Linked DNA regions of Struthio camelus. The protein of the gene in region 1 purifies or fractionates together with the protein of each later gene. This does not show direct contact. Links are inferred from orthologs where the notes say so. Each region holds a gene or a part of one and is shown on either strand. Other genes may lie near its edges. The genes, in order: RHOBTB1 and COPS6.

Region 1 (7,242 bases):
ACATTTGTGGCAACAGAGGCTAAAATATTAGAAGAATCGCAATAAACTGCAATGTATTTTAACTGTCAGCTTCCAGGCCTAACTGGAAAGGCCAGATATTTCTTCCCCCCACCTGCTCATTGTCTCTCCCACATGAACTCAGTTGCTGTCACCCCAGCTCAGCTTGCAGACCTGAGGACATGAACACTCCCTATTCCACCACAGTGCAAATGCCTATGCTCTGTTAAATTTCACTGAGACCTATACTCCCATGTAGTGCTCAGAAACAGGCATTAGGAGTTTCAGAAAGCTCAGGAAGTCCACCTCCATGCTATGCACACAGTACACGCTGAAGAAAAGGACAAATGCATGAAACACTACAGAACAGATCTTACATTACTTCTCTACAGAACAAAAACCTCTCCCCACATCTATTAACCTTTAAGAACCCAGATTGATAATGGAAGACATGAGTCATCTGGGACTACTGTAGCCAGAATAAGGTAATGGCAGTTAATCTACAATGATGCAGCAATGAAAAGACTCACAACCATAAATATTTTTGTCATCACAGTATCTTCTGTGAATGGTGAGCAACGTAATCATAATCTCGACATCACGACTGGTCTCAGTGTGCCTTGTGACTGAGTTCAAGAGATACTGTCAGCAGCAATTATTCTTAACAGTAAATTTAATAAAAAGCTTTGGCATCTAGTCCTGGAAGCCTAAAACTTACACAGCTGCTGCTCATCTACTCCACGTCCACTTCGGAGGGTAATATCACATGCGTCTGCTTACAGCTTCAACACTGTAATTTTGTACACAAAAGAAATTGCATGTTAGAAGTAGAAATGAATTTCTGTTTGCAAAATCAATATATATAACAGAGGAAACTTTGGTGAAAACAGAATAAGCCTTATGCAAAAACCATTAGCTTTCCATGCTACTGTTTAACAGTAGTTTAAGGCTGAAATAAGCTAATCATACTTTAAAAAGCAGATGAGTCACTAAATAGTTACTGTTTCTGAATTAAATTTACATAGTCATCCAAAGCATAGTTTTCATGAAACAAAAATATCCTAGATAGTAACTACAGGGCAGTGAAAAAACAACTTGACAGCTTGGAACCGTTTGGACAGTTTCTGATAACTTACAGAATATACTCCATTAACTGAGAGACAAATAACTATTCCAAAGGCCTAAATTTCCTTACGTACTCTTTGCTTTCCTCTATTTGCTAGGAAAAAAAAAAATCTAGCAAACTTTGAGCATCCTGATATTGCTTTATAAAAAATATCTTTAGCTTTTCCTTGTAAGAAAGCAACAATCAGCCTGATATTTAATGAGATTATTGGAAAGCCATCAAATTATATTACTTCTAAACCCCTTGAAAAGTTGGTGCGCCTATAAAGACAATAGCTATTCCTATTTATATTATCATTATATCTTGATCTATCTTGCAAATATAATTTTGTAGAAATCAGTGATTAATCATTATAATGAAGTGTTCTCTATAAGGACTACTCACACTGTGTAATTTCCTATGTGATCACTCTAATCCAAAGTCTTTTGTAGAGACGGACAGTTTATGCAGCAGCTGATGGGCAGAACCAAGCAGCCATATTTTCTTTGTTGGTTTCTAAAGGCAATTTGCACTGTTTTTGAAAAGCTCATCAAATCCTATTTGGCCTAGCCACGTGTTCCCATGTTTTAAATCTTAGTGACTCTTCTCCAGCTTCAAGTGTATTGTCAGTCACAGTCCTCAGGAAATACCACCTTTGCTGGCACAAGCAAGTAAGTGAAGGGACTACTCTCAACCTAGCAGTGTTTCCTCGAGGGCAGCACTGAGAAGCTTGCTTGTGCTGCAACAAAACTGGGATTGAACTTGGGAGTTCAATTTCCAGAACCGTCAATCAAGCACCTTTCACACACACTCAATTCATTCTGAAGTGCTAAAAGAAATAGATGAAATAGAAGTAAGTCATTCAGTGTTCACAAAAAGCAGCCGATGTAAAGCAAAGCATATGACCTGCTATGTGGGTTGATTTTTATCTTACACGGGGCTCGCTTAGCAGAGCTAGAAACGTTAGCCAATACAAGGTTTGAGGCCATCTTCTGAAGAGATGTAGATGATAACCTCGTGAGCTCAGCTGTCTGCTCAAATTGCCTTGCTAATGATAGTTAGGGACACGTTTCTAGCACAAGTTACAGGATTTTAGACAAGGTTTGTTTGTACTAATTGAAATTGCACAACTACACCTTCTGCACACAAATGCTGTGGAAGCGCTGTGGAAGCTTCCTCACTAGGGCTCTAAACATGAGTTACCAGAGCTCCGAATAAACTCTTTCCAAACAAAATAATCCTTCCATTACTGAGGAGTAACAATGACTCAATCTTTCTTTTTCCTTGATATAACACATCCAGCAAAGGCCATTTTCAGGATTTATCTAAAATCCTAAAATGCAGCCAAGCTGTTAACACTTTTCTTTCCCTTAATTAGGGGTTCACAATACCAAGTTTCATTTTTTAAGACCCAGCTCCTGGAATCCTATGATTATCCTCCCACATTTCTTTTATAAAGTTAAAGCATAGGCTACACCCGTGCTTGGCAATTCTCTAAAGCAGTAACATATGTGCTGACGGCAGTTCAGTCGAGGCAGCAGGGAGTTCCACGCAGGCTCCTTTACCCAGCTGCACAGCTCAGGCACGTTGGTATAGCATGCAGGCACGTACGTTCCTGGGCTTCACAACTCCACAGGAAAGATGGAGCCCATGAAATATAAAGGATCAAAACAGAAGGCACATTCACTGAATCCCATTCCTGTTCTGAATTTCATAATTTGGGGGCTAGGTTTATTACTTCCGAACAGAAGGATGACTGACATAGTGCAACAGAAGTTCCTCTCCTCTGCCATTCAAACAGGAGAGCATTCTGACAGCAAGTCTGCCTCTACTTGTAATGCTGCCAGCTCTTTGCTGTCTGTAGACCCTATATCACATTTTCAGCCTAGAAGAGCTGCGCTGTGAGTAGCACTCCATGATCAACCTGAAAAATCACTGTGAAGCAACTGCGGAAAAGGCTGAGTACATGGTCTCCAGAGCCCTCCAAACTCCTGATCCCACACACAGAAAGGCCCAGGACTGAACATCAAGTCCAAAACACCAAAGAAGCAAATAAGGTTACTTTAATACCAGGCTACTGGGCCATTCCCTGAACTTTATTAAGCACTTCAACAATATGCTCTTCAACTCTCTTAAATACTGTATAGAGCTAGATTGCTTATGACTTCCCACTATTGTTCCCTCTCAAGAGTCCTATTAGCGTATGACTGACACAGAGATGCCAGATACCATGAGGACAGTGTAAATGGGAAGCATTTTTGAAGTCAAATAGACTTAGCATTGTTTTTCAGTCACAACACAGTGGTGGAATTCTTTGCAGAGGAAACTGAGGTCAACAACATAGTGAATTTACTCAGCAGACAAGAATAGAAAGGACCTGAACTTGCAATTATTCAACACTTCCTCTTCTGTTTGCTTATGGAGAGTGCAGGTTTCCTTGTTAGCCACATTCAAGAGGAGGAGAGGAAATTTCCCTTTTGGAGGGTATCCAGAAGTTTCAGTTGCTTTAAACTGGCAAGTGAATTTTGAAGATAACTGTGACTTAACCTGGCTGCCTTGAGTAACAGAAATTTGGGCCTCCGTACTCACCAGCGACTGCAGTGTATATACAGGTCAATTAGCAGCCTGTATGGCAGCTGCTAACCGCAGACCCCAGGTCACCCATCAGTGCTACGTGCGGCAGCAGGTCTGCAGCCAGCCCACACCAGCCCTGCCCTGCAGCCTGCCTTTCCTTAGAGCACCAATCCTCCAAGCACCCGCACAAGCCGTGTTAAAGAGATTAAAGAACAAAAAACAAACCAAAAAAACTGAGCACAGGCAGTGAGAAGGCACGGCAGCCCCAGCGCCGGCGGGGGGGCTGCGCCCCTGGCCGCGGCCGGCTCGCCCCTCACCCCGCGACGGGCCGCCTCAAAGCACGCAGGATTTCCCGCCCGGGAAGCACCTCAGTTCTTGGAAACGGTTCTTCCCAGCGGCAGAACCTGAGGGGACAGCGGGGACCAGGGCTCCGCGCGGAGCCCTCGCGCCTCGCCTGGGCTGCGCAAGGCGGGAATCACCACAGAGCGCCGCGCCGCGCCCCTCCCCCCCGCGCCGCGCGCCGCGCGCCGCCAACGGCTCCAACGGCTGCAACGGCACCGCGTGCCGCGCGCGCTCACGTGACGCCCCGGCGCAGCCCCCTCCTGCCTGCCCCTCCGCGGGCCGGTTGGCTGGGCTGCGGCGGGTCGCCCCGGGCCGCGCCGCCGAGGAGGCGGGTCCCGCCGGGCTGGGCTGGGCCGGGCCGAGCCGAGCAGAGCAGAGAGGCGGCGGCGGCGGCTGGTGCTTCTCCCGCGTCCCCGGCGGGTCCCGCTCGGCGCTGAGGTGAGGTGGGGTGGGGGCGCCCTGAGGGGGCTGAGGGCGGGAGGGACCCCACGTCCGGCCGGCGGGAGCCGGCGTCCCGGCCCGGAGCCGGGTGAAAACGCTGACACCGCCTCCGGGCGTGCCGGCAGCCCCCGGCCCAGCTGCTGCGCTGGCGGGCGTTTTTAACTCCCGCGGTTAACGCGGTGTGAGGGGTGCTTGGAGGTACCTCGTGCTAGGCTCTGCCGTGGTGAGGAGGGCTTCTCCGCGCCCTGGGTTCTGGCTGCCCCCTCTTCTTGACGGGCAGAGCAAAGCCAAAACCTGCTCACGTTGCTCTTTCTGGATGTCGATCTGGCGCGCTCGCCAGAAAAATTAAAGTTTCCTCTCATATACGTTCTCCAGGCGCTTTCTGAACGTGCTTTGTTTGAAAAGCAATTTAGTGAATTAACGTAGCATGCACGAAGATAACTGGAGCTGACGCACTAGCGAAGTAGCATCCATCACATGAGCAAAAATGGAATTTTCCTGCCCTTGGGTTTCTTTTTTATCTTAAATTATTAATGGGTCTCTGCATCACATGAATGAAATTTGCAATTGGTACATAACACAAATGTATGAAGAGAACCAGATGCAAGAGGAGTCGGTTAGGAAGGAGGATGTATCTCCAGAAACACTGGCAGAAGGGTGAAGATAGAGAACCCCTTCTTTTCCTCAGAGTTACTGAGGAGCTCTGGGGGAGAAGCAGTGGGATAAATCCTGCCCTTTTGCAGTTATCAGAAAAGAGAAACAAGGAAGGGGAAAACTTTTCCCTACCCTGGGAGTATAAGAAGTTAAAACTTCAGCGCATAATGTTTTTGTTTAGCTGCTATTTAACTGAATCGTTGTGGCTATTCCTGAGGTAGCAGGTTAATGGCAATCACACGTGATCAGTTACTTTTATCTGTGTAGTCAAAACAGGGAAAAAATGCTAGATCTGTAAGGGAGATATCAGGTAAAGACACCTTCTTTGAAACTGAAGCAGAAAAGGTAAAGCATTTGTATGTACTGCAGGTTGTGAAACATTAAGGGTTTGAGAATTTGTTGAGAGGAAGTATTGGCTTAGGTGTCAATGGGAAATAACATTTCTACTGTCTTTTAAGCCACGTACAGCAACGGTGGGGTGTCATAGGAAAGATTATGGTAATAAGGAGGTAAAGATCTCTTCTTTGTTTTACTTCTTCCGATATTTGAACTTTTAAAGACAAAGACTTAAAGTAAGACCATATTAAACAAAAGAGAACAATCATATTTGTAAGTAGCCACTCTTCCACATAAACCCTTGAAGCTTGGTGAAGAGATTTTGAGCAGACATAATGAAAATATGTAATGTTACAGAAACCTTAAACCAATTTGCAGAGATGACAGGCTAGTCTGGTGTAGAAGGAAGCTCTTAAATACACTGGGAGCGTAAAATTCTGCGTTGTTGTTAATTTGGTAATAATCCTTACAAAAAAGGGGGAGGGGGGAATTTTGGGAGAAGAATAGACTGGACCAACACAGGCTATCAAATAACTCGAAGGTAAAATTGGGGTAGGTTTGAAGAGAAAATCAGGCTGAGTTTTCCATGAGTTTTTCTCTACTGTCATTGCATTAGAGGAAAAACTTCTCCATGGCAGAAGAGGCTTCTAGGCCAGGTCGCGCATCCTGGGTTATGCACTGATCCTGAGGAGCCATCCAGAGAGACCAGCGTTTCACATAGTCTCGTCTGTGTTCCTTCTGGGCCTTCTTTCAGTTGCAATTATATTGCCTGCCAAGCCCCACTGCAAGAGCCACCTGCCCGCGCTTCTCCCCAAGTAAAGGAAGTTCTGCCCCATGGAGAGGTAGACCATATAAATCCATCTCTCATTGAATTACTCTTTGCTGCAGCTATCTTTAGTTTTCTTAAACTTACTGTGATCTGCAGGCAGCACCATAGTACACATGCACAGAACAGCTGTCACAGGCATACTATAAATCCAGTGTATTTCTGAAGCCCTTGACTAGCTGTGCGTAAGCATTAGTTCAGGTGGCAGCGTGTTTCCTGTCTGGACGAGGAGCGTGTGGCAGAGGGAAGGAACTGTGCTGCCACTACCAGAACTGGTGCTCTCCAGGGCAGACGCACAGGATGAGAGTTGCATAAAGCCAGCTGTCTTCTCAGCTACGAGCTCCTCAGGACTCAGATAAGGAAGTTGCATGCCTGGTTTAGCTGCTGTGTTGTCCAGATTGTCATCACAGAAATAGAAGATTTCTGAGATCACAGAATAGATTGTCATCACATGGCCACTTTTACCATGGTAAGGGAAATCTTTGTAAATTGGAGTTGTAATCAGGTAATGCAATACTAATTAAGATTAAAACTTTTCTTTTACAGTCCAAACTATCTTCCAAACCAGAAAATGGAAGTAGGATGGGGGTGGGGGGCAGAATCCTTTTCTATGAAGTTGAACATTTAGGCTTATGCTTTAGTAATGATGAAAATCAGGTTTAACTACATTTCTGTCTGTTTATACTCTTTAAACAATGCGGTTGACTTTACAGTGTAACAATTAAAAATCTCTCTGCAAGCAGGAGAATCTGAATGTGGCCTTTACCAGGACAATAATGTGAATAATTAATGACATCTGAATAAGAATCATGAATGAGCTAGTGGAAGGACTTTGCATATCTGCCTGAGAATGAGAAGGATCTTAATGTGTCAATGGAAGCCATGTCTGTGGATTTTGATCAGGACAAAGCTGAGAAAAGCTGGTTGAAATGGATGAGATCGCAATGAAATAAAAATAGAAAGCTCT
Region 2 (8,032 bases), on another chromosome or scaffold:
TCACCCGACGTTGGCCCTGGTGGGTCTTTGCAGCCGTATCTGCCCCTTCGCCTTCTTCCATTGCCAGGTGCTCTTCTTCCTGGCGGTGCTGGCGGGCGCTTGCAACCTGCCGCCGGGCGAAACGCTGCGGCGGGAAGCTCAGGAGGAGCTGGAGCGATACGGCGAAGCCGGAGGCGACCCGCGGCACCTGCACCGCCTGGGGTCGGCGCAATGGGCTTACTGCGCCGAGCTGGCGCGGCTCGGGGGTTTCGCCCCGCTGCCGCCGGTGCTGCGCGGCCTCTACGAGGCGACGCGGCGGAGCTGGGAGCTGGGCGCCGACGTTTATCGCCGCCGTAACTATCGGGTGCTGGATGAGGAGCGCTGGGAGGTGGTGGGAGAGGAGGGGGACAGGGAGGAATAAAGTCCCGAGAAGGCAGCCGGCGTCGGAGCGTGATGGAGGTGCCGGGATGAGGGTCCCTTCTTGCTCCGTCCCTTGCTGTCCCCTCCAGCCGCGTGGCCTCCTGTCCCCCGTCCTCATCCCGCTTCTGTCCCCCGTGCTCGTCCCCTGCTGGTCCCCCATCGCAGTTCGCGTCTCTCTCGCGTCCCCAGACCCCGTTTGCCCCTCGTCATCCCCCTGCTGTCCTCCATCTCTGTCCCCAATCCCGGTCCCCTCCTCTCTCCCATCCCGGTCCTCGTCTGCCCGCCATCCCTGTCCCCCATCTGTCCCCCATCCCAGTCCCCCATCTTCATCCCCGTCTGTCCCCCATCCATGTCTCCTGCTGACCCCTATCGTGGTCCCCTCCTGTCCCCCATCCCGGTCCCCTCCTGTCCCCCATCCCTGTCCCTTCCTGCCCCCCATCCCAGGCCCTGTCTGTCCCCCATCCCGGTCCCCATCTGTCCCCCATTGTGGTCCCTATCTGTCCCCCATCCCTGTCCCCTGCTTTCCCCCATTGAGGTCCCCTCCTGTCCCCCATCCCGGTCCCCATCTGTCCCTCATCCCAGTCCCCATCTGTCCCCCATCCCTGTCCCCTCCTCTACCCCATCACCATCCCTTCCTGTCCCCCACCCCGGTCCCCATCTGTCTCCCATCCCAGTCCCCTCTTCTCCTCCATCCCAGTAACCCATCCCCGTCCCCTCCTCTCCCCCATCCTGGTCCCTGTCTGTCCCCCATGCCGATCCCCATCTGTCCCCCATCCCTGTCCCCCATCCCAGTCCCCATCTGTCTTGGGGTACCCTCTTCTCCTCCATCGTGGTCCCTTCCTGTCCCCCATCCAGGTCCCCATCTGTCCCCCATCCCTGTCCCCATCTGTCCCCCATGCCGATCCCCTTCTGTCCCCCCATCCCGGTCCCCATCTGTCCCCCATTGTGGTCCCCTCTTCTCCTCCATCGTGGTCCCTGTCTGTCCCCCATCCAGGTCCCCATCTGTCCCCCATCCAGGTCCCCTCCTCTCCCGCATCCTGGTCCCTGTCTGTCCCCCATGCCGATCCCCATCTGTCCCCCATCCCTGTCCACTGCTTTCCCCCATCATGGTCCCCTCTTCTCCTCCATCGTGGTCCCTTCCTGTCCCCGATCCTGGTCCCCATCTGTCCCCCATCGCCGTCCCCTCCTGTCCCCCAACCCAGTCCCCATCTGTCCCCCATCGCCGTCCCTTCCTGTCCCCAACCACGCCAAACCCAGCGGTGGTTGGTGGTGGCGTGGGGTGGGGCAGGGGGGGAAAAACCATTGCGACACATCCCCTTTTATTCACCGCCAACACCGGAAACCCCAGGTCGCCGGCGTCTTCGGGGTGGAGGAACCGGCAAGCACCGTGGCAGCGGCGGTGGTGGCCTGAGCTGCCCGGGCCGGTCGCGGGGAGGTGACGGGCGTCGCGACGGAGCGCGGGAAGGACTCGGCGGCGAAGTAGTAGGCGAGAGGGTCGAGGACGGCGTTGGTGCAGGCGAGGAGCAGGGTGCAGCGGTAGGCTTGGTCGAGGGCCGGCCCTGGGGCGGCGCGTAGCTGGTAGCAGAGCAGGACGGCGTGGAAAGGCATGAAGCACGCCAAGAAGATGGCCACGTGGCTGAGCACCATGCGCCTCACCTTGGCGCCGTCCAGCAAAGCCATGCGGGCGGCCGGGCTGCGCCCCACGGCCCGCAACAGGGCCCACGAGCAACCCACCACGACGGCCAACGGCAGGCCGAAGGCCGCCGCCATGGCCCAAGCCACGGCCGGCTGCGTGATGTAGCGGGGCCGCTCGTCGAAGCAGCGCGTCGCCTCCGCCGCCGTCGTCGCCTCCTCCGCCGCTCGCCGGCCGGCGGCGTAGACCGGCACGCAACCCAAAGCGCTGAGCGCCCAAGCGGCCGCGCACACCAGAGCCGCCCGGCGCCGGAAACGGGCCGCGCCGGCGTGTAAAGGCAAGCAGACGGCCGCCCAACGGTCGCCGTTGAGGCCCGTCAGCAGGAAGATGCTGCCGTACATGTTGACCAGCAGCAACCAACCCAGCAGCTCGCACGCGGCTCGCGGCAGAGCCGCCCGGCCGGCGTAATGGGCCACGCGGGCCGGCAGCGACGCCACCAGCAGCAGGTCGCAGGCGGCCAGGTTGCGCAGGTAGGTGGCCGTCGGGGCCGCCGGCCGCCCGCCCCGGCCCAGCAACGCCAGCGCCGCCCCGTTCAGCCCCAGGCCCAGGGCGAAGATGAGGCCGTAGAGGGCGGCGAAGGCCGGGTTGGCGCCCGCCGTGCAGTTGGCGCAAGGCGCCGGCCCGCTCGGGCCCGGCGGCTCCAGGATGGCCGTGGCGGCGGGGGCCTGGGGATGGGATGGGATGGGGGGGTTGGTTTGTTTGTTTTTTTTGGGGGGGGGGGTCCGACCTGCCCGGGAGCCTGGTTGAGGGGGGTTGGTAGGAGTTGGGGAGGGGTCTCGGAGGTGTTTGGGGGTGGTCTCTGGGGGTCCCTGAGGGGGTCTTGGGGGTGTTTGGGGGGTATTTGGGGGTCCCTGAGGGGGTCTGGGGGTGTTTGGGGGTATTTGGGGGGGCTCTGAGGTATTTGGGGGTCCCTGAGGGGGTCTCAGAGGCACTCGGGGGTATCTGGGGGGGCTCTGGGGTATTTGGGGGTCCCTGAGGGGGTCTTAGAGGCGTTTGGGGGGACCCTGGGGTATTTGGGGATCCCTGAGGGGGTCTCAGAGGCACTTAGGGGTATCTGGGGGGCTCTGGGGTATTTGGGGGTCCTTGAGGGGTCTCAGAGGTGTTTGGGGGGGGTCTCTGGGGTATTTGGGGATCCCTGAGGGGGTCTCGGAGGTGTTTGGGGGTGGTCTCTGGGGGTCCCTGAGGGGGTCTTGGGGGTGTTTGGGGGGTATTTGGGGGTCCCTGAGGGGGTCTTGGGGTGTTTGGGGGTATTTGGGGGGGCTCTGAGGTATTTGGGGGTCCCTGAGGGTTCTCAGAGGTGTTTGGGGGGGTCTCTGGGGTATTTGGGGATCCCTGAGGGGGTCTCAGAGGCACTCGGGGGTATCTGGGGGGCTCTGGGATATTTGGGGGTCCCTGAGGGGTCTCAGAGGTGTTTGGAGGGGTCTCTGGGGTATTTGGGGATCCCTGAGGGGGTCTCAGAAGTGTTTGGAGGTGTTTGGGGGGGTCCCTGGGGTATTTGGGGGTCCCTGAGGGGGTCTCAGAGGCGTTTGGGGGGACCCTGGGGTATTTGGGGATCCCTGAGGGGGTCTCAGAGGCACTTAGGGGTACTTGGGGGGGGCTCTGAGGTATTTGGGGGTCCCTGAGGGGGGTCTCGGAGGCATTTGGAGGCTTCCTGAGGGGGTCTCGGGGGTGTTTGGGGGTATTTAGGGGGATCCCAGGGGTATGTGGGAGTCCCTGAGAGGTCTCAGAGTCATTTGGGGGTATCTGGAGGGGCTCTGAGGTATTTGGGGAGGCCCTGAGGGGGTCTCAGAGGTGTTTGGGGGGTCCTTAGGGTATTTGGGAGGATCCCTGGGATATTTGGGGGTCCCTGAGGGGATCTCTAGGGTATTTGGGGTCCCAAGGGGCTCCCAGCTGTGGAGCTGGGGGGGTCCCCGGGGTGTTTGGGGTGATCGGGGAGTTTGGGAGGTCTGCAGGGGGCCTCCTGGCTCCCTGCCCTGACCCCCCTGGGAGGGACCCCCCACCCTGGGGACCCCCCGCACCCTGTCCCCCTTGTCCCGGGGACTCACCGTGCTCCCTCCCCACGCCGGGTGCCTGGTGGGGTCCAGAGTGGCTGCTCCCGGGGTGCTTTTGGGGCCAAGCTCCTGACGCAAGCCTGGTAGGTGGAAACTGGGGAGCACTGGGTTGAACTGGGAGGCACTGGGGAGGATTTAGGTTGGGCTGGGAGGCAGTAGGAGGGGACCGCAAGGCTCAGGATTGGTCTGGGGGGGCACCGGAAAGGGTCTAGGAGGAACTAGGGTGGAGTGAGAGGCACTGGGTTGAACTGGGAGGCATTAAGAGGGGACCATGAGATCCGGGGGGGGGCACCGGAAAGGGTCTGGGAGAAACTAGGGTGGAGTGGGAGGCACTGGGTTGAACTGGGAGGCACTGGGGAGGATTTAGGTTGGGCTGGGAGCAGTGGGAGGGGACCGCAAGGCTCAGGGTTGGTCTGGGGGGGGGTACCGGAAAGGGTCTGGGAGAAACTAGGGTGGAGTGAGAGGCACTGGGTTGAACTGGGAGGCGCTGGGGAGGATTTAGGTTGGACTGGGAGGCAGTGGGTTGAACTGAGAGACATTGGGAAAGGCCTGGGTGGGAGGAACGAGGTTGGACTGGGCGGGAAGGGCAGCAAGGGGCTGGCCTGGAGGGGCGCTGGGAAGGACTGGGAGGTGCTGGGAGGGACCAGGCTGGACTGGGTGGGACTGGGAGGCACTGGGAGGCTGCCCACCCCGGTCCCAGCACTCACCTGGCACCGGCGGAGCCCCCCCGGGTGGTGACGAGGGGCCAAACGGGGCCCAGAGCTGCCCCTGAAACTCCCGGCTGCTCGGTGGCTTCCTGCCACCCGAAGGAGAAGTGCCGGCGCGCCACATCCGGGAGAACGGGGACGCCGTGGGGACGGGCACGGGGACGGGCACGGGGAGGGGGGCATGTGGGGATGGGGACGTCTTGGGGGGACACGGGGCCTGGGGATGGGAGTGGCCCTGGGGATGGGGATGTCTTGGGGGGACGTGGGGCCTGGGGATGGGAGTGGCCCTGGGGACGGGGACATCTTGGGAGGACATGGGGCCTGGGGACGTCCTGGGCACAGGGACACTTGGGGATGGGGACACCGTGGAGATGTGGGGCCTGGGGACAACCTGGGGATGGGGACACCTGGGGACGAGGATGTCATGGTGACATGGGGCCTGGGGACACCTGGGGAGGGGGACATCCTGGGGATGGGGATGTCATGGTGACATGGGGCCTGGGGACACCCTGGGCACAGGGACGCCTAGGGACGGGGACCTCCTGGAGAAGAGAACGTCATGGCAACCTGGGGGCCCAAGGACGTCCTGGGGATGGGGACACCTGGGGATGGGGACACCATGGAGATGTGGGGGCCTGGGGACGGGGACGCAGTGGAGATGTGGGGCTTGGGGACACCCCGGGGATGGGGACACCTGGGGATGGAGACATCATGGAGATGTGGAGGCCTGGGGTCAGCCCGGGGATGGGGACACCTGGGGCCGAGGATGTCCTGGGGATGGGGACACCATGGAGATGTGGGGGCCTGGGGAAACCCTGGGGATGGGGACACCATGGAGATGTTCAGCCTGGGGACACCTGGGGAAGGGGACACCTGGGGACGGGGACACCATGGACATGTGGGACATGAGGACAACCGGGGCGGGGGGGGGGGCAGGGCACGTGACCAGCCCCCTCCCTCCGCCCGCCTTCCCGCCGACAGCGCATGCGCGCCCGCCGACACTCCCGCGTTTCTCCGCGGCGCATGCGCGCCCGCTTCGCCCCCCCGCAGCCAACGCCCACGCCCTCTGCGCATGCGCAGAGGCGCTGAGTACGGCGGCCGGGCGGGGACACGCCGAGCCAAGATGGCGGCGGCCGGCGCCTCTTCCTCCGCGGCCGGGAGCAACGGGACCGGCGGCATGGAGGTGGACGCAGCAGGTACCGCCCGCGGGGGCTTCAACCGGGCTCCCGGGCCTGGCGCCGGGGGCCGCCTCGGCGCCGGCTTCACCCCGCACCCGCCCCGGGTCTTGGCCCCGCCCCCACGACTCTAGACACGCCCCCGGGCGTTGCGGGTCCGGCGCGGGTCCCACCCCTGAGGCCCCGCCCACTGCCCCCTCTGGCCCCGCCTCAACCCCCCTTGGCCCCGCCCCAATCCCCCCACTGGCCATGCCCAAACCCGCCTTGGCCCCGCCCCAACCCCCTTTGGCCACGCCCCAATCCATTTGACCCCCTCCCAGTCCCTTTGGCTCCGCCCCAATCCCCTTGGCCCCGCCCCGATTCCCCTGGCCCTGCCCTTTTTTGGGGGGGGGAAGGGAGGGGTGTGTGTCTCACCTGGGAGGGCCCTATCGCCCTGGCCCCGCCCCCAGGCCCTGGCCCCGCCCCTCCACCCCCAACGGCCCCGCCCTAGATCCTATAGCCACGCCCACAAGTCGTGCATTTCCCCCCCACACACACACAAAAAAAAATCCCCAGGGGCCAGAAGCCCACTCGGCCCCGCCCCCAGCCCCCCTCGGCCCCGCCCCCACCATCCTCGGCCCCGCCCCCAGCCCCCCTCGGCCCCGCCCCCAGCCCCCTGACGCGGTGCCCCCGCAGCGGCCCCCTCGGTGATGGCAGCGGGGGTGACGGGCAGCGTCTCGGTGGCCCTGCACCCCCTCGTCATCCTCAACATCTCCGACCACTGGATCCGCATGCGCTCCCAGGAGGGGCGCCCCGGGCAAGGTAACCCCCCCCCCCGATACCCCCCCACTGCCCCCCGATACCCCCGACTGCCCCCCCATACCCCCGACTGCCCCCAATACCCTCCCACTGCTCCCCGATACCCTCTGACTGACCCCGATACCCCCGACTGCCCCCCCATACCCCCGACTTCCCCCAATACCCTCCCACTGCCCCCCGATACCCTCTGACTGCCCCCCAATACCCCCAACTGCCCCCTCGATACCCCAATACCTCCCTGACTGCCCCCGATACCCCCGACTGACCCCCGATACCCCCCAACTGTCCCTGCCACCCCCCAATACCCCTGATACCCCCTGACTGCCCCCCGATACCCCCCAACTGCCCCCGATACCCTCCGACTGCCCCCGCCAATCCCAATACCCCCCGACTGCCCCCGATACCCCCCAATTGTCCCCCAATACCCTCCGACTGCCCCCCACTGCCCCCAATACCCCCAGATACCCCCGACTGCCCCCTGCCACCCCCTGATACCTCCTGGTGTCCCCTGACTGCCCCCCAGCTGCCCCTGATACCCCCTAACTGTCCCCTGATACCCCCAACTGTCCCCCGATACCCCCCAATTGCTCCCTGATACCCCCCAACTGCCTCCCAATACCCCCAATACCCCCCCACCGCTCCCTGATACTTCCCGACTGCTTCCCGACTGCCCCCCGCCATCCCCTGCCTGCCCCCTGCCGCCCCCGATACCCCCTGGTGCCCCCTGACTGCTCCCCACCACCCCCTGAGACCCCCCGACTGCCGACCAGCTGCCCCTCGCCACCCCGATACCCCCTGGTGCCCCCTGACTGCCACCCACCACCCCCGATACCCCCGGTGCCCCCTGGCTGTCCCCCGACTGCCCCCCCGGCACCCCCCGACAGCCCCCTGGTGCCCCCCGACTGCCGACTGTGCCCCCCAACTGCCCCCCGTGGCTCTAGACTGCCCCCCGCCACCCCCTGATATGCCTGGCACCCCCTGATGCCCCCGGTGCCCCCCCTCGACTGCCCACCTTGCCCCCCCCCCCCGACTGTCCCCACAACCCTCTGGATGAGCCCCCCCCCAAGTCCCCTGGACTGGTCGCAGGGCCACCAGAGTGGTCCCAGTGTCTCTCACAGCCCCCTGGACTGGTCTCAGGGCCCCTCAGACTGGTCCTGGCAGCTCCATACTGGTCCCAGTGCCTTGAGGATGGTGGCTCTGCACTTGGGG

The links.
Region 2: the proteins of RHOBTB1 (region 1) and COPS6 purify together in Homo sapiens (affinity purification with mass spectrometry; 4 studies listed by BioGRID and IntAct, counting the BioPlex papers as one, with this or other methods). This does not show direct contact. The link is inferred for Struthio camelus from reciprocal best matches to the Homo sapiens genes RHOBTB1 and COPS6.

Annotation. Positions count from the first base shown.
Region 1 is NC_090948.1:36,261,697-36,268,938, reverse strand, and holds the start of RHOBTB1 (rho-related BTB domain-containing protein 1), read left to right. Parts: upstream 1-4,214; 5' UTR 4,215-4,456; intron 4,457-6,065; exon of another isoform or gene 6,066-6,744; intron 6,745-7,242.
Region 2 is NC_090978.1:609,854-617,885, reverse strand, and holds the start of COPS6 (COP9 signalosome complex subunit 6), read left to right. Parts: upstream 1-4,799; 5' UTR 4,800-4,850; coding exon of another isoform or gene 4,851-4,974; 5' UTR 4,975-4,993; intron 4,994-5,831; 5' UTR 5,832-5,922; coding exon 5,923-6,046; intron 6,047-6,700; coding exon 6,701-6,826; intron 6,827-8,032. Other genes in the region: uncharacterized protein, read left to right, coding at 1-400; lysophosphatidic acid receptor 5-like, read right to left, coding at 1,723-2,757, 4,138-4,223, 4,851-4,974. UniProt on the Homo sapiens protein: Component of the COP9 signalosome complex (CSN), a complex involved in various cellular and developmental processes.